Linked DNA regions of Schizosaccharomyces pombe. The gene in region 1 interacts genetically with each later gene. Each region holds a gene or a part of one and is shown in the gene's direction. Other genes may lie near its edges.

Evidence for each region.
Region 2: mutations in med15 (region 1) and hrp1 are lethal when combined (synthetic lethality), as found in Schizosaccharomyces pombe (one study listed by BioGRID).

Annotation. Positions count from the first base shown.
Region 1 is NC_003423.3:995,112-1,003,750, forward strand, and holds med15 (mediator complex subunit Med15), read left to right. Parts: upstream 1-1,571; 5' UTR 1,572-1,685; coding exon 1,686-1,759; exon of another isoform or gene 1,760-1,805; coding exon 1,806-1,908; exon of another isoform or gene 1,909-1,954; coding exon 1,955-4,969; 3' UTR 4,970-5,064; downstream 5,065-8,639. Other genes in the region: pumilio family RNA-binding protein Puf2, read left to right, coding at 1-958; SPOM_SPBC146.02 (uncharacterized protein), read left to right, coding at 5,900-6,691; cut3 (condensin complex SMC subunit Smc4), read right to left, coding at 7,378-8,639.
Region 2 is NC_003424.3:2,189,957-2,199,971, forward strand, and holds hrp1 (CENP-A chaperone, CHD family Hrp1), read left to right. Parts: upstream 1-4,864; 5' UTR 4,865-5,060; coding exon 5,061-9,182; 3' UTR 9,183-9,491; downstream 9,492-10,015. Other genes in the region: vps66 (acyltransferase), read right to left, coding at 1-224, 289-553, 741-765; CENP-P family protein Fta2, read left to right, coding at 1,052-2,107; histone deacetylase, Sirtuin family, NAD-dependent Hst4, read right to left, coding at 2,153-3,207, 3,333-3,525; autophagy-associated ubiquitin-like modifier Atg12, read right to left, coding at 9,492-9,614, 9,669-9,805, 9,870-10,008. UniProt on the Schizosaccharomyces pombe protein: Seems to play a role in mitotic chromosome segregation and maintenance of chromatin structure. Has ATPase activity.

The DNA of each region.
Region 1 (8,639 bases):
ACCCAAACTTCGTCAAGTTCGTAAGCGTATTGATAATGGTCTTTGCACTCAGGAAGAAGTTGAAGACATTGCCATTAATTGGCTTGATGAAGTATCAGACTTATCGAGCGATCATCTTGGTAACACCGTTGTACAAAAGCTATTCGATTATTGTTCAGACCCCGTAAAGGAAATGATGCTTGAACGCATCGCTCCTCATTTGGCCCAAATTGGTATTCACAAAAACGGTACATGGGCTGCTCAAAAGATTGTTGACGTGGCATCAACTGAGGCACAAATGCGCCTTATTGCTAAACACTTGCAGCCCTACATTCCACTACTTTTTGCTGATCAATTTGGCAACTATGTTGTGCAAACATGCTTGAAATTTGGTGCTCCAATGAACGATTTTGTTTTTGAAGCCATTCTCAACCAGTTTTGGGTAATTGCTCAAAGCCGTTATGGATCACGTGCCGTCCGCGCCTGTTTAGAGAGTCCTGATGTGACTGAAGAACAACGTGTACTTGTTGCTGCTGCTATAACAGTCTATTCCGTACACTTAGCTATGAACGGTAATGGTACGCTACTGTTAACTTATCTTGTTGAAAATATGAACTATCCTCATATTCCTATTCTTTTAACCCGGAGATTTGTTCAAGACATTGTTAGAGTTTGCACTCATCGACTAGCTTATAATTCCCTTCTTAAAATAATTTCCATATCACAAGGTGATACTGCTTGTGGTGATTTAGTCGTTGATGCTATTTTGGATACGCAAAATGATCTCAATCCAAACTCTTTAGAGAAAATACTTTTCGAACAAACTTATGGTCCGTCTTTTATTTGCAAACTCTTGACTCACGAAAATATATCAGCCTCGCATCGACAACAGTTACAAAGTGCTGTTCGAAACGTATTGGGCACTATGGAGGATCGCGGATCCTCTGAATTAAAAAAGCTGGCTGAGGTATGTGCGTAAATAACTGCATTATCGAACATTTATGAGAAAAAAATTTTGGTTTTCTTCATGGCAAGCAAGGATTCAACTATTTTTGATATATATTCAACAGTTTATATCTTTTATTTAGAGCCAGGAAGTTAGCATTATGATGATTATAATAACGTTTACAACTATCGCTTAGAAAAGGAGAGTTTTTCGCTCCCCAGTAATCTAAGAGCAAAAACCATTTGTTTCTGTTGATATCTATTTTCAGTCCAGTTTATTGTTTTTATTATTAATGAAACGTTACGCCTTTAAACTATACTTGAAAAGTTATTTTGGTGGTTTAATATCCTCTACACTTACATTTAGCTATTATATAATATATATTAACGAAATTGTGGTACACAAATATTGAAGTAGGATAAGGTTAAAGACTGGCATAATCTACCAGCCTCTGATAAACAAGTATGCTGTTGCTTTAGATTATTTCTATCTTAGATTTATACTAAATAATGAATTTTAACGTGTTCTCATGTATCAGCGACCGTGATTTAGCTTATCATCGATAGCTGTGAGCAAACCACTGTATTGGTTACCTTGTGACGATCAGCGCTGATATATGGTGTACGGTAACTTAAGTTCGTCTTCCACCGACCATCAGCGTTGCAATAAATATATTTGCAAAATTATCAGAAATAACTGGTACGCTTTTTAGTAATGTACAATAATTCACTAACGTCTTATAGATCATATATTTGGAGGGATGAACCGGAATGTTGATAAGGGATGGCAAGCACAAATTCGTCCTAATGAGAGACAGAGCATTGCCTTGCAAATGTATGCCATCATTTTTTAAAACCCTTCATCTAACTTTTGTATTTAGTGCTCAAACTTTACGAATTATCTCTCCCTCAATTTCCGAAGTCCAACTCATGAATATGGCTTTGTCATTTGAGCGTCAGGCTTTTGATGGTGCCAGTAGCAAGGTATTGAAAAAAAAAATTCAATTAATTTTGTACTTACCAGTAATAGAATGAATACTTAACTACATGTGGCAAGAAGACAGCACAATTGAGAGATCAAATACGTGACACATTGCAGGCAACCCAAATGAAACAAATGCCTTCTGTGTATAACAATGCGGGTAATGTTGGAGCTCTCCCTACTGCCGGACCTAACAGGTTGGCAAATAATCCCAGAGTAATGCCGAGACTTCAAAACCAAAATGTTCCAATGCAAGCAGGAATGCAACAGTTTGCTAGAAATATGAAGTTGACCCCACAACAAAGGCAATTTTTACTTCAACAATCTCAAATCCAGCAACAAAGGCAGCAGCAACAGCAGCAGTCGCAACAACCTCAACAAACACAACAACCGCAAGCTTCATCACCAACAGCTCCCAATACAGAAGCAAACCAACAAAGATCTGGTAGTGTTCCTGGTCGAATAGTTCCTGCATTGACCCAACAACAGTTAAATAATTTATGTAATCAAATTACAGCTTTGCTTGCAAGGAATGGCAATCCACCAATTCCTATGCAAAAATTACAATCGATGCCACCTGCGAGACTTATTTCAATATATCAAAACCAGATTCAAAAATTTCGTTCATTGCAGCATATGCAGCAACAACAGCAGCAACAACAACAACAACAACAACAACAACAACAACAACAACAACAACAACAACAACAACAACAACAACAACAACAACAACAACAAAAGCAAGCTCCGCAAAATGCTTTTTTTCCAAACCCTCAAGGTAACGTTGGTGCCCAGTCTCTTCAAAGTATGTCTCCACAAGACCAACCTTCTACTCAGCAACAGCAACCTCAGCGAACTGCTGCTCCTCCAAATAATCCTAATGTGAATGCTACGAATAATAACCGTATAAATATTGAGATGCTAAATATCCCGGTTCCTAAGCAATTGTTCGATCAAATTCCTAATTTACCTCCAAATGTCAAAATATGGAGAGATGTGTTAGAATTAGGACAATCTCAGCGTTTACCTCCGGAACAATTGAAGCTAATAGGTATGCTATATAGAAAGCACCTACAAATTATTTTGCAGCACCGACAGCAACAGCTTAATAAAATACAGAATGCTCGAATGAACTCGCAAAATGCCCCTAATACCAATAAACTGGGGAATCCACAACCTGATAATACGGGCAACCCCCAAGCGTTCTCGCAGCAAGCATTTGCTCAGCAACAGCAACAACAACAACAGCAGTTGCACCGTACTTCTAATCCTACAAGTGCTTCTGTTACTTCACAAAATGGCCAACAACCGATCAATACAAAGCTTTCAGCTAATGCCGCCAAAACTAATTATCAAAGCTATTTGACAAATAAGGCTCGCAACGCTACTCAACCCACTCAGCCGCCTGTATCTCAGGTCGACTATTCAAATAATCTACCTCCTAATCTTGATACATCGTCTACATTTAGAAGTTCTGCAAGTCCTCCTTCAGCTTTTACGAAGGCGGGGAATGAAGCACTTTCAGTTCCTCTTAGTGGTGCAAGAAACACCGCTGCTTCAAGGCCTACAAACTTAGCGGCTGGAAATAGTAGTGCTTCTATCGTTCAGCAACTGCTTGAGTGTGGAGGAACTATGGGACAACAAAAGATGACTTCGCGTATTCGAGAACTCACCGAAAGAGTAATGCATAGTTTGATGCGGCCAGTGCCTCTTGATTTGCCTCATGATCAAAAGGTTATGATTGCGAGTCTTATCAAATCTGCATATCCTATGTTTAGCCGTACAAATCAACTGATTTGCCTGTTTTACTGTTTGACAGGCAATGAGGAAGCCACGATTCAATTGATACAAATGCGTCATATATTTAAATTACAACTTGAAGGTCTTCAGCAAGGTGTTTTTACTTGTGCTCCGCAAACATTGGCCAAGATTAAGGAGAAAACCAGTCGCTATTTTGCCTTTGTGAAAGCTCAACTGTTAAGACTTCACCATGAAGTAAATAACAATAATATGAGTATTCAAAATGCTCTTGCCCATATCTCCTCGCTCCGTACTGCATCTATTAATCAACAGCAGCAGCCACAGCCACAGTCACAGCAGCAACAACAGGCTTCCCAGTTTCCTCAAGCTCCTTCTGTATCATCCAATGTACGTCCTATCAATGGATCAATTCCTAATGCGCAACCCAGTGTTCCTGGGCAAGCCCAACCTGCAGCCAAAGCAAATTCTGTTGGTAACACATCTTTTCCTGTTGACAGTAAACTTGCATTCCAATCCTTGGATGTATCTCAGCCGGATTTGCAAGCCAAACAGAAGATTGCATCACAAGTCATGAAACATGGTTTAAAACCAGAAGATCTCAAGTTACCGCCTTCTAAGAAGAAAAAGATAGAAAACTTATCGACAGTTCAAAAACCTAAGGATTCAGTCGTAAATACTCCTGATGTTATAATGTCAAGTGTAGATGAAATACCTTCTAGTGTTTCTCCAGGTACTATAGCCAAAGAGGAAGGAATGGCTAAAGCTCGGGAAGAAGCAATTGCTAATCCTTTGAAGTACGCAATCGATGCATTTGTGGCTGTAGACCATGAAGAAGAAGTTTCTGCTATCAAATCATCACAGACTCCTAGTTCTATTTTGAAAACACCTCAGTCGTTTTTCATTCCTCCGTCAACTCCAGATTTATCATTTACAGATAACAAAAACTCACTTAGTCCATCTAATATTTTGTCATTGGACGGAAAATTTTCATTTAATGATGATTCGGAGCTTTGGGCTGATTTAGGTAATGAAATCAACTCTGAAATCGGATTTTTAAAGGAACCAGATACCATGAATCTTGCTTTGGATGCAGATAAAGATAAGACTAAAATGCAAAATAAGCTTACTCAAATTAATTTTGATGAATCATGTTTTCTAGATCCAGCGATCGACGATAAAGATCCATGGAATGAAATGCTTCATGAAAAGAAAGTTTTGCTAAAGCAGCTTCAAGTGGGTAACGAAGATGAAGACAACATCGCATTTCCAACATCTACAAACATATGGCAAGTTGTGATTTAAAATTTTGTGATACGATGGTTCGCAATTGTTTTTTATTTATTTATTGCACGTCGTCTCAAAAAGCAAATTGGACATATTTGTCCTTCTACAATATCTTATGAATACCATAGACATATATTGTTTCTCTGTTTATTCAACGTTTCTCCATTTTTTGAAAGCATCTGTTATGTTGAAAATTGTGATTGGGAAAAGGTTTGTATAGTCCTTGTGTTTATATACAATGATAAAAATAGAACCTGAATTTAATATTTTGAAGATCCGGTTGTACCTTTATTAGGCACAATGCCAGAAAGTATGGCTTTTTCCCGATTAATGACCTGTCTATGAGACTCATTGTGAACATGAAAATGTCGGTATAATGAGGACCGTTACAAATTTTATTTATTCATACGTTTAAGTTGATTTTAGTTAATTTATTATTAGTGCACCGGTTGGTGTTGAAAATTAATTTGTAATCTCTTAAATGAATATTTGTATAGTTTTTAATGTTTACTATCTCAAATATTCTAAAAGTAGCTATCAGTTTATGTTTTTGCTTTGGTTCAAGAGCTTTGGTTTAACCTAACCGCCAAATAGCTATCTCGAATTACCATCTAACATGAGAAAACAAATTAATATTTCAAAACTCCCGATAATTTATTGAGCTTAATAATTAATTAAAATTTACGTATTATTGAAGTCAATAAAAGCTTTCTTTGTCTTCCATGAACAAAGAAACCTTGTGATCTCAGTCTTGTATATAACACGCTAACTCGTGGCCTACTGTAAATAAAAGTTATCTTACTAACGATATATTATTTCTTGATTCATTGAAATAAGAATCGTAGGATTTAACAATAATTGAATACAGAGATCTCCTAGCTTCATTATTAAGTACAAAATAGTCAATTAATTTTTTTATCAAGCAGATTAATTGCTTTTAAACTTACAATGAATGGTATAAGGAAAAAACCAGCAACCTTGCAACTCCATAATATAAAAACCAGCTGTTTCATTGATGGCAGTGATGATCAAAGCGATAGAACAAGGTCAAGTTCTGGAGATAGCACCTCTAATTCACTGAAGCTATCACATCATATATCTGACGAACTGATCAATGCCATATATAAAGAGTTAAAGTCGCCAGTATCACCTTGGGACAAAAACATTTCGCAGCATTCGCCATGGCTGTTGGAAGCGGCATCGAACTCCATTGGTGATTCAAGTCCTTTACTTTCACCAATCTCTCCATTAAAGTTAAGATTTCATAAATATTCGGTTTCGAAACAGCTAAACAGCGTTGGAAAGCAGGGTTTTGGTCTTTCTTCAAACCATAGTCGTTATGCCTCACCATCCTCCCCTGCACGGCTTGCAAGAGGTGCACTTGGTGAGGAACTTAGCAATTCGCAATACAGATTAGAATGCGCCGCAATTCAGAAGCTTGTTGCTCAAAAACGAGCCAATAGAAGGAGTAGTAAAAGCACTTTAAAAAATTCTGCAAATGATATAGAGTTTTTCGATATTGAAGAAGTTTCCTCTCGCAAGGGACTAATAGACAGAACACCTTCTAAAAGAAATGTTACTTCCCGAGTTTCTGATGCGTATTCTCGTCTTAAATCTGCTGTGAAAGGCGAATCAAGCTTGTCCTTTAAAAGAAACCGATCGAAATCGAAGAGGAAAATTCAGCACCTGGGTTTGACTGAGTTTAATGGGTGGGAACACCATCAGTGCGACTGGCTATAAAATAAGTGTTACTCAGATGCTCCATGTTAGGCTACATGGTGCTAGCCATGTGGTAATTAACATTCATTTATTTCCTTCATTACTTTCTTCCTTAGTCCTCCTATCTCTTATTAGCTGGAAAGCTTTTATCATTTGCATTTTTCTTGTTAATTGGTCTTTCATTTATCTCGTCGTGTGCATTGAGATTTCCTATTTAAGTTTACGACTCATATTGTTTAATCTAATTTATTGTTTGTTTCTAATTATTCTTAATTTACTACCATAAAATTAAATTACTTAAAATTGGATACGTTCTATATGGTATGCATACGATTGCAATAAATCTTTAAAAGCATTACCCACTAAAATATTATACTATGTAACTACAAATTGTAGATACCTTCTGAAATTGATGATGTAAACAACATATTTAATTATATACAATTCCTTTGCGCAGATTTTACAGGCTTTAAAAGCGAGTGAAGATTAATTTTATATATTTGTAGTCCTATTACGTTCATAAACAGATTTCTGAAACATTAACATAAACTGGGTGCCACAAAACTAAATTAGTTTAATCTTCTCATAACATAGATTTATTAGTATGCACACTGTGAATTATGAAACACTGACATTCAGTAGCCAAAAATTCGTAAATTATTAAATATCTAGTTTCCAATTTTCTACGTTTTTATTTGAATGTGCAGTTAATCTGTAAGTATTTCCTTGTTGTTGATTGTGACACTCTTAGTCATATTCGCCGTTTTATAAATGCCAACCAAACGAGAAGATAACTCAAACATATTACTTCTTAAAGAAATAACAATAAACTGCGCGTTTTTAGTTCTTTCCTTAATGTAATTCGCAACAATCGAAACGTTTTTAAAGTCTAATGCAGCATCGATTTCGTCCATAACGTATAAAGGAGTCGGTTTGTAATTATGTAGAGCAAAGACAAGGGCTAGAGAACTTAACGTCTTCTCTCCTCCCGAAAGGTTAGATATGTTCTTCCAAGATTTTTTGGGAGGCATCACACTAAACAATACCCCCTCAGAAAACGGATCCAAACTATCCACTAACTCAAGCTCTGCGTTTCCGCCCATAGTAATAATTTGATACATTTCTTTAAGCTTCATAGATATAATTCCAAATCCGTACATAAACTCATCGAGCCTCTGAGATTGAAGATCTGTAACGACTTTTTTCAAATCGGTTCTTTTTTGCAATTCACTTTGGTAATCAGAATCACGCTTTTCTGCTTCCTTGTTACATCTACGATATTCAGACAAAACATTGATATCTACTTCTCTGTCTTCAGTTTTCTTTTTCAAGACTGAAATATTAGAGACCAGCTCGCTTTTATCAACTGAACTCAGTTCATCTTCAGAATATTCGGGAAAAGTTGAGTCCATTGTTGTCTGGTCACAAAATTCAGTCAAATTGTGTAACTTCAGATTTGACATGAGCTTTAAATATTTATTTTCATTATTGCCGACCTCTGATAATGCCGTACGCTGCTCTTGAATTTGATTTTCCAATTCAATCCTTTCTGCTTTAACGGAATTCATTTGCTTAGATTCAAATTCAATAAATTTTACTAGTTCGTCGATAGAGGAATTGATGTCCCATAGAGCATTTTCAAATTCGCGGAGCCGAGATTTGTGTTCATCCACATACTTGTTTAACGATTGTAGTTCAGTCTTTAAAGTGGCTATACTTTCAGTAGTTGTATCGTACTCGCTAGTAAGGTTTGATAGTTCAACTTGGAAAGATTGACTGCGTTGCTCATTCTTCTTCTTCTTGAAACTCATTTTGTTAAGCTTGTCTTTAACAAATTTGAGTTGCTCATGCAAATCGTCGACCTTTGATTTTTGTATACGATATCGAATCCCACCTATTTCCATGATCTTATCTTGTAACGTCTTAATTTCAGTGACAAGGCCTTCATTGTTAATATTTATGGCCTCAA
Region 2 (10,015 bases), on another chromosome or scaffold:
CTTTAGCAAGAGGTTTAGCATCAGTAATCTTTAGTTTCGAAGGGCTAAAGAAACACGACCAAAAATAAGCCTGAGCACTAATAATTGAGACATTCGAAGTTTTTGAGTCACACACAGCAAAAGTACAGTTATATAAACAAGACAACACAAGTACATCCAAAGGGCTTGAATGATTCACTGCCAAGATATCACCCGGTTGAAGGCTATCACCCTGAACGAAACTTCTACTCATGATTAGTTTCTGAAAAATAAAAAATGTAAGATGCACGAGGGACTTAATGGGCATACCCTGAAGTTGACTTTGATAATTTAAGACATCCAAAACATAAAAGGAGTAAACGGGAGAGACTCGAATCAATAAAAAAACTAAGTTTCGGCTGTATAGATAGTATAGGTTTCAAAAAACAAGACCAGAGAAACCATAATGTTACAGAAATGATGCAAAGAGGAACTCGCAATATCATAACAACAACTATAAGGATCCATTTAAAATTAAATCCACTAGGAGTTTCTGTATTTATAGGATGGAATGGAGCTATGCCCGTTCCCGGATCTAAAAGGGTTAATGAATCTGCATTAAAGTCATTTTGTTAAGAGAAATTGACAAACACTCGATCTTAAAGTCAAGAATCATAATACAAAATAATTGGCTTCTATTTTTTGCTTTTATTTTTTTTTGCGTTCTATTTAAACAACATTTATGTGAACAATCAAGCATTTAAAGTATTGCATATTCTTACCTCTCCAGCGAGTAAATTTCTCCATTTCACAATGAAAATGATAAAATATTACAAATATTATTTTTAGTAGAGTAATATGGATTTCAGTCGTAAAAATGAAGTAGTGATTTCAAAGTGGTAGCTACTAAGATTCACTTCTAGGTTTAAGTGTTGCTTTGACCATGACTATATACTATATGCATTTGTTCCACCATTTGAGGATTTTGGATTTTTCATTAATGTTGCATAAAAAGTATTAAAACACTTTTGCACGAGCATTGTTAATTGTAGTAATACTGATACTATTATCGCGTACGACTATAAATATCAAAATGTCCGGTAGGCGATATAGTCAAATTTCTCAACAAGAAGGATCTAGCAGTAGTGATGATAGTGATTCGCAACAAAAAAAGACAAAACGTACTGTTGCTCACCGAAGCCCAAATACTACTTTAAATGGCATGCCTCGCGTAGATTCACGAGCGAGGCCTAATGAAAACAGTGGACAATCCAAATCTAGCAACGGAAGAGTAGACACTGACAGAAAAATGGATCTTTTGCGCAAAAGGAGTAACCTTGTACATCAAACCCTGCTTCTTGAGAAAGAGGTGAGGGTTAGACGAAATGCAATTAACCAACGCGACGATTCGTTTTTAAGCGGATTTATAAAATCATTATTAGAGATTGATTCCTCTGTAGTAATTTATAATACCGAAAACCCTGATAATCCTAAAACAAAGCAAGTTATGCCATCTGCTGAACCCAAAAAACATGTTAAATTGAATTCGTCCATATCATCCATTCGTTTCACACAACATGAATTTGAAGCGGAATCCGAGAAAATCATTCATCATTCTCTTAAAGGAGATATAGAATATCTCCCAAGCTTCAAATTTTTACTAGAAATTAAGGTCCGAACAATCGATTATGCTCTTTTATTTATTACTTATAAAATCCCGCATTTTGCTAGAAAAGAGCTCAGTAGTTTTTCGGACTCTGCAATACAATGTCTCGATATAGTAGCTCTTTTGAGAGCGTTCTCATTATTTGCCCACCATTACTCATATCGCTGCAATACGTGGTTTTATTTATCAAAGCATATGAAAAAAGTGGCATCAGCAAACATGGACGCTCAATGTTTCTATGTTCAAAATTCCTTTTACAAAATTACAATACTTTATGAGATAAAATTTGATGATCTTGGTTTTGTACAACCTAATTACTGCATCTCTTATATACTAAAGAATCAAAATGAAAAAATTGTAAGCATCACATCAAAGTTGCTTAATCAATTAGACAAACGTTTTTCGGAATTTGTATCGCTTTTCGGATTCAGAGAAGGTTCACTACTATTATTACAGGCATTATTTAAACCTCATTTGGGGTAAGAAGGATAAATTGATATTTTTAACATGGTTTATTGAAGCTAAATGTTAAAGCGGAGAAGGGGTTGCATATTCAACTTCTTGTTTAATTTCCACCTTGGGTATTTCAATACTATTGAGCACTTGGTGCAACTGAAAAGAAGTGTTATCTTTCTTAGAACTATCATTGCTTTTCGTGTTCAAGCCAATAGCTTTCGTAATTTTAGTGGAAGAAGTAATCTTTGTTTGTTCGGAAGATTTTTGTTTTGAAGTTCTTTTGGCAGAATGGGACTTGAGTTTCCAACTTGGAGCATCTAATAAAGGCTTCAGACGTCTAATAGCAATTTGAAGGTCTCCTTGTACAACCAGGTCGCATAAGTTCAAAAAATCTTTCGTAGGTTCGTCATAATTCAACCAAATAACATTTCCCTTCTGTTTATGCACACAGTTGCTCATTTCCTTGATAATTCTTTTGACACCAGGGATTTTACAAGAAGTACCAGCAACAATTAGACAGTCAGGGCGGGACTTTAAATCTTGTGAACAGACCGAACCAATAGATTCGGAATCCGGATGTATCTCATTGTACAAAACAATCCGAGGACGAAGGCAACCCTCGATAACTGATCTTTTTCCTGCTATACGACGAACCTCGTTCTCGGTTTTACAGTCAGGGCAAACAGTAACACCATTTCTATCAAATATATCTGGATTAAATTTTTTCAAAAAGCTGCACCTTGTGCAACTTACAACTTCCAGTGTCCCGTGAAGAGGAATCGTGGTAGGCCAAGGGGCAGACTGCGGCAATGGAATACATGTTTGAAGGCCCTCGAGTCTGGTTTCTAAAAAATCAATATTTTGTGTGTATAAACGTAACAGCTTAGATTCTTGGGCTAGTTGAGATAAAAATAAATGGAAATCAGTGGGGCGTGCATTATTAGAAAGCATATGTAGCTTTCTAATCATTGCGTGAAAGATGTTAACACTCTTAAGATCTCTGTAAACAGATCCATCAAACAATTCCTTCCCGGAGCAGTTCAATTTATACTCCGCACGAAGGGAGGAGAAAAGACCCTCAGAGGAACGGAAATCAGGAATTCCAGCATCACAAGAAATTCCAGCACCTGTTTAAACGTATTAGTAAATGAGCCTTTGTACGATTATAATATTTAATTTTTTTTTTAATCCCACTTTTTTTTTAAGTGAAAAGTTAAAATAAAAGAAGGAAAACCATAAATAAGCAACATACCAGTAACAACGACTATGCGCTTTGCCTTGCGAATGGCAGAAACTAAAGGAGATAAATCGACATTTTCATTGCCTGTATGAAGTCTAAGTGGAAGCTTGGAAAGTAATTGCTGCCTTTTCGAAGCATTTTCAGAAGATTGGCATTTTCTCTTCCTCGACTCCTGTATTAGAGGGACGTGCTCCTCCACTTTCATACTAAGCTACGTAAATTTGGAATTTTTTAAATCCAAAAAGTTGAGTGCATTAATTAAAATATATTAAAATCATTGAACTCTTCGACTTCTTCCTAAAATGGAATGGTTGAGGAATTAAGTTGTGATTGACGGTTAGGCGGTTGTGTCTACGTACGTTTCGAAAGGCCGTTGAAGGACAATTATATCGCTTGAAAGACTCAATTTCGCCATGTCTTTGTATAACAGTAATCGCAATTTTTTTCTCTATTCACTTTTAAAAATGCCGTTGAACCAATGTTTATTTAGAGTACTGATTTTTTTGTTTTTACCCATTTAATAAAATGTTCAGACTAGAAAATCAGCTTTCATGCTGACATTAATAAAAAGAATAAAATTAAGTCTTCAATAATCCTTCTGAGATTTCTCCTTCTATCAATATATAAATTGTCTAAATAGTCAAATGAAATAAATAAATATATACAGAAACTGGTAATAAAAATATTAAAACAAAAAGGGATTGCAAAAATTTAAAAAAACAATTGAAGTTCCATTTTCTTAAATATTGGGAAAACTTTCAAGAGTTTTAAGTACAGTATTTTTCCTTGACATTTAATTGAAAAAGTTGGAAGGTGAAGTCTTTCATAAAATTCTCAAAAAAATAACAAAACCAATAAATATATCTTTGAATCTTTGGTAAAATATCCATGCAGTTAAAAAAATTTAGTAAAACCAATCGGTCAAATTTTTAATTAGTTTATTTCTTTCAGAAACTATTGTTTTCTCTGTCTCGATTCCCCTCTCAATTGTAATTAAAGAAGTAAATAAATACATTATGTTTTCATGAACAATTGAAACAAAGAAGCATACGTTTATGTGAAAAGTTTCGACGTTTTTGTGTAAACTATTTAACGTTATGGGATAGTAAACAATAAAATATATAGAAATTTTTTGAAATTAATGATCTTTAAATTTAATAAAAGCATGCGAACTGAAGCATTTTATGAAATACGAATTTGCCTTCACGTTTTGCACAGTTAATTTGAAAATGAAATAAAATCTGCAGACTTGCTCGGAAATACGAACCGGAAATGAAAATTGTAAGCTAACTTAATTTCCATGGAGTGAATGAGAATAGCTCGTACATTTTATGGCAAAGGATTTTTTTGTTTGTAAAGGTCTTGCATTTTCGCAAAAATTGAGAGTGGAAATTGCATGAGTAAAAATAGTGAATCCTTCTCAAAAGGTAAATTTTATTAATAAAAAGGGACTCTGGAGAAGTAATTTGATACCAAAATCACCTGCATTGCCTGGCATTTCATTTATAGTGTTGCATATTTTTGCACTATTAATTTCTGCCAACAACATAGTAATTTCAATTAATAGCCTTATAGGCATACTGCTTATTCCTATTAATCCTTTGTTGCTTCACTGTTAATATCCAGATATATATTTAAAAAAAAGCATTTTAAGCTTTTAAAAGAGAGTCTGCAAAGGAGCGCCTACTTTGTGGACGTTCTCAACATTTAACATTATATAAATTTTCTGGAGTAACAAGAATGGAGCCTGAACATTCGAATTATGATTTAAAAAATCATCCTACGAGCGTTCAAGAGTCTACTTTAAATGGCTCTGCAGTAACTGATCCTCAGTTTGGAAATACAACAAATTCTCTACCTAGCATGAATGGCCTGTTAAATCATGAAAATTCTTTCGCTTCGCAGCAATCTTTATCGTCTTCTGCCTTTGATGATTCTGAAATCGTAACCAGCACTGCTAATAGCACAGTTGTATCTTCTGCTTTGTCTACCCCTAAAATTGACGATGCGCAAAACTCTGACGATGTTAGAGTAGATGGTACAAGACGTTCTTCAAGGGCTAAACGACCCGTTTATCGTGATTTCTCTTATACTGAAATTGACGAGCATGAAATTCCGATTCCTAAAAAACGAAAGAGCAAACCTGCACCAAAGCAAAAAAAGTCTGTGGCTAGCGATGATGAAGACGCATATGATAAGAGACATAGATTCAGTATTAACTCTGCTTCCGGAACCGAAATCCGTACTTCATTGCGATCTTCAAAAGGTAAAAGCGTCAACTACAATGAACAAGAATTTTACGACGACTTCGAGGACGAAGAAGAGGAAGTAGAAGAACAGGTCGAAGAGGAATATGAGCCTATTATTGATTTCGTTTTAAATCACCGAAAGCGAGCGGATGCACAAGACGATGACCCGAAGTCTAGCTATCAGTATTTAATTAAATGGCAGGAAGTTTCCCATCTTCATAATACTTGGGAAGATTATTCTACGCTTTCTTCTGTGAGGGGCTACAAAAAAGTCGACAATTATATAAAGCAAAACATCATTTATGATCGCGAGATTCGTGAAGATCCAACTACAACCTTTGAAGATATCGAAGCTCTGGATATTGAACGCGAACGTAAAAATATGCTTTTTGAAGAGTATAAAATTGTCGAACGCATAGTAGCTTCTGAAACTAACGAAGAAGGAAAAACAGAATACTTTGTAAAGTGGAGGCAGCTTCCTTATGATAATTGCACATGGGAAGATGCCGACGTAATTTATTCTATGGCACCAAATGAAGTTTATCAATTCTTGCAACGTGAAAACAGTCCGTATCTCCCTTATAAAGGTGTTTTCTATAACACCCGTCCCCCGTACCGCAAGTTAGAAAAGCAACCATCTTACATTAAAGGGGGGGAAATCCGTGATTTTCAACTTACTGGTATAAACTGGATGGCATATTTATGGCACCGGAATGAAAATGGTATTTTAGCAGATGAAATGGGTTTGGGTAAAACCGTGCAAACTGTGTGCTTTTTATCTTATTTAGTCCATTCTTTAAAACAACACGGTCCTTTCCTTATTGTCGTACCGCTTTCCACTGTTCCGGCTTGGCAAGAAACATTGGCCAATTGGACACCTGATTTGAATAGTATTTGCTATACAGGTAATACGGAATCTCGTGCTAATATTAGAGAGTATGAATTCTACCTTTCTACGAATTCTCGCAAGCTTAAATTTAACATTCTACTTACGACCTATGAGTATATATTGAAAGATAAGCAAGAACTCAACAATATTCGCTGGCAATATCTTGCTATCGATGAAGCTCATCGACTCAAAAACAGTGAATCATCTTTATACGAGACCTTATCTCAATTTCGGACTGCCAATAGATTATTAATAACAGGCACTCCTCTTCAAAACAATCTCAAGGAGCTGGCATCCTTGGTTAATTTTTTGATGCCTGGAAAATTTTACATTAGAGATGAATTAAATTTTGATCAACCAAATGCTGAACAAGAGCGCGACATCCGAGATCTACAAGAAAGATTACAACCCTTCATTCTCCGTCGCTTAAAAAAAGATGTAGAGAAATCTTTACCGTCCAAATCTGAGCGTATTCTTCGAGTCGAACTATCTGATATGCAAACTGAATGGTACAAGAACATTTTAACTAAAAATTACCGCGCCTTGACAGGTCATACCGATGGCCGAGGTCAGCTATCCTTACTCAATATAGTTGTAGAGTTGAAAAAAGTATCAAATCATCCCTATCTGTTTCCTGGCGCAGCGGAAAAATGGATGATGGGTAGAAAGATGACTCGAGAAGATACGCTGAGAGGTATTATCATGAATAGTGGTAAAATGGTACTTCTTGATAAACTGCTGCAGCGTTTGAAACATGATGGACATCGCGTATTAATTTTCAGTCAAATGGTTCGTATGTTGAATATTCTTGGAGAGTACATGTCCTTGCGCGGATATAATTATCAAAGATTGGACGGTACCATCCCAGCTTCTGTACGCAGAGTTTCAATTGATCATTTCAATGCACCAGATAGCCCTGATTTTGTGTTTTTACTTAGTACCCGTGCAGGGGGACTAGGCATTAACCTAAATACTGCAGATACTGTTATTATTTTTGATTCTGATTGGAATCCCCAAGCAGATTTACAAGCTATGGCAAGAGCGCATAGAATTGGTCAAAAAAATCATGTCAATGTTTACCGCTTTTTATCAAAAGACACAGTCGAGGAGGATATATTAGAGCGTGCAAGAAGAAAAATGATTTTAGAATATGCGATCATCTCTTTGGGTGTTACTGAAAAATCAAAAAATTCCAAAAACGATAAGTATGATGCCCAAGAGCTGAGTGCCATTTTAAAATTTGGTGCTTCTAATATGTTCAAGGCAACTGAAAATCAGAAAAAGCTCGAAAACATGAATTTGGATGATATACTTAGTCACGCTGAAGATCGTGATTCTTCTAACGACGTGGGTGGAGCAAGTATGGGTGGTGAAGAATTTTTGAAACAATTTGAGGTTACTGATTATAAGGCTGAAGACCTAAATTGGGATGACATTATTCCTGAAGAAGAAATGGAACGCATCGAAGAGGAAGAACGCATGCTTGCCGCTCAACGAGCAAAGGAAGAAGAACGCGAACGAAGAGAAGAAGAAGAACGTGAGAATGATGAGGATCATCCTTCTAGAACATACAAAAGAACCACTAAGTCCATCACTAAGCGTCAACAAAGACGTGAGGAAATGGTTCGTGAAAAAGAGATTCGACTTCTTTATCGTGCCATGATCAAATTTGGGTTAGTGGATGAACGGTTTGACACAATAGTCAAGGAAGCCGAGTTACAGGCTACTGACCCGAAACGTATTTATTCTTTATCCGCCGATATGGTTAAGGCTTGTGATGAGGCTGTGGAACGCTTGGGAGCAGATGACACTAAGAATAAGCAACCTAGAAAAGCCATTTTGATTGAGTTCAAAGGGGTTAAAAATATTAATGCTGAAACTGTTACGCTACGTGTTAAAGACTTAACTCACCTGCATCGTGCTTACAAAGGCCTTGATCCTTTGAAACAGATAATTGGATATCCTATTCGAAGCGTTCATAGTTGGAATTGTTCATGGGGTATTAAAGAAGATTCTATGCTTTTAGCTGGTATTAATAAACACGGGTTTGGTTGTTGGCAAGCAATAAAAAATGACCCGGACTTAGGCTTACACGATAAAATATTTTTGGACGAAGCTAAAAATGACAAAGAGTCACGCTATGTTCCTAGTGCTGTTCATCTTGTACGTAGAGGAGAGTATCTTCTTAGTGTTGTTCGTGAACATCCTGATTTGTTTGTCGTTAAGACTGATCAACCAACAAAACGCAAATATAATCGTAAAGCGCCAACTAAATCATCAACTCGGCAAACCACCTTGGATGGTTCTATTAGCAATACAAAGAAAAGTAGTCGTACGAAGAAAAAGAAGGAAGAAGAAACTAATCGAGGCGATGAAACCTCTCCTGAAGGAACAGTGGGAGAAGATGAAGTGGAAGAAGAACCCAGACAAGCTGAACCTCCTAAGCGTGCATTAAGATCAAATAGTGGTAAAGCAGCTTCTAATAAGAGAACAACTAGGAACTCAATGAAGACACATTCCGCGATGGATACATTGACAGCGGTGGCTGCTTTGGACGCTGAGCTTGATAACATGTCTAACGAAAAGGCGAAGGAAGAAGTTGATCATGTTAAATCGGAAAATGGGGAATCAGTAAACGAACCTAATACCGAAGACCTCTCTTTAGAAACCGAAGAAAATACTACCGTTTCTGACATAAGTCCCTTAGTAAAAAACGAGGCATAAGGAGTTAAAAGATGATTTTTTACTGTCTAAGGCTGACGCTGCCTTGTTACTACAAGTGTAACAAAATTCAATAAACAATTTTGGCTTACACATTTTCTTAACTTTATATATATATATTTTAATCAGGGTAATTCTTTACTTTTAAAAAGTTACACGATTTAGAAAATTAATGAATAGACTCGATTTTGGTTTTAAAACACATTACAGAAGAAATTTCACATTCATAACCAGTAACCAAAAGATCTAAAACTAAACACAGAAAATATGATTTTCGACAATAATAAATGAACAGAATTTGAAGAATGCAGCTTAACCGAAAGCAACGTTGATACAATAATTAATAAGTAGATGACTGTCTATAGCAAAGTTATCGTATAGATTACCCACAATTTCATCAGGAGAAGGAGCAAACGATGAATTAACGTACAGTACCTATGGATTATAAGTTAGAGAAAGTTTTGAGTTTGTATAAGCGGACAAACTTACCAAGGAAGAGTTCATCGGTAGTCCAAGCTCTTTCTTTAAAAACCGAGTCACTTTTTCGAATCTTTGACTAGCATTGATTGAAAAAACAGTCTTTCGAAGTAAGGGTGTTCTTCCAATTGCTTTAAATCGTAAATTAACTAAAAATAATGGTTAAACAATTGAAAAATGAAACGTGAAGGCTAGCACTAATTCATTACAAACCTCTTCGATTCTCTTTCTCTCTATATGTGTTGATTATGGTCTCAATGGATGGAAGCTGATTTTCGATATCCTCATTTTGGCTATCTTCCTCAGTAGCCAAGCGTTTTTCGAGTTCCTGTTGATCGACTAATCCCGTCATTAATACC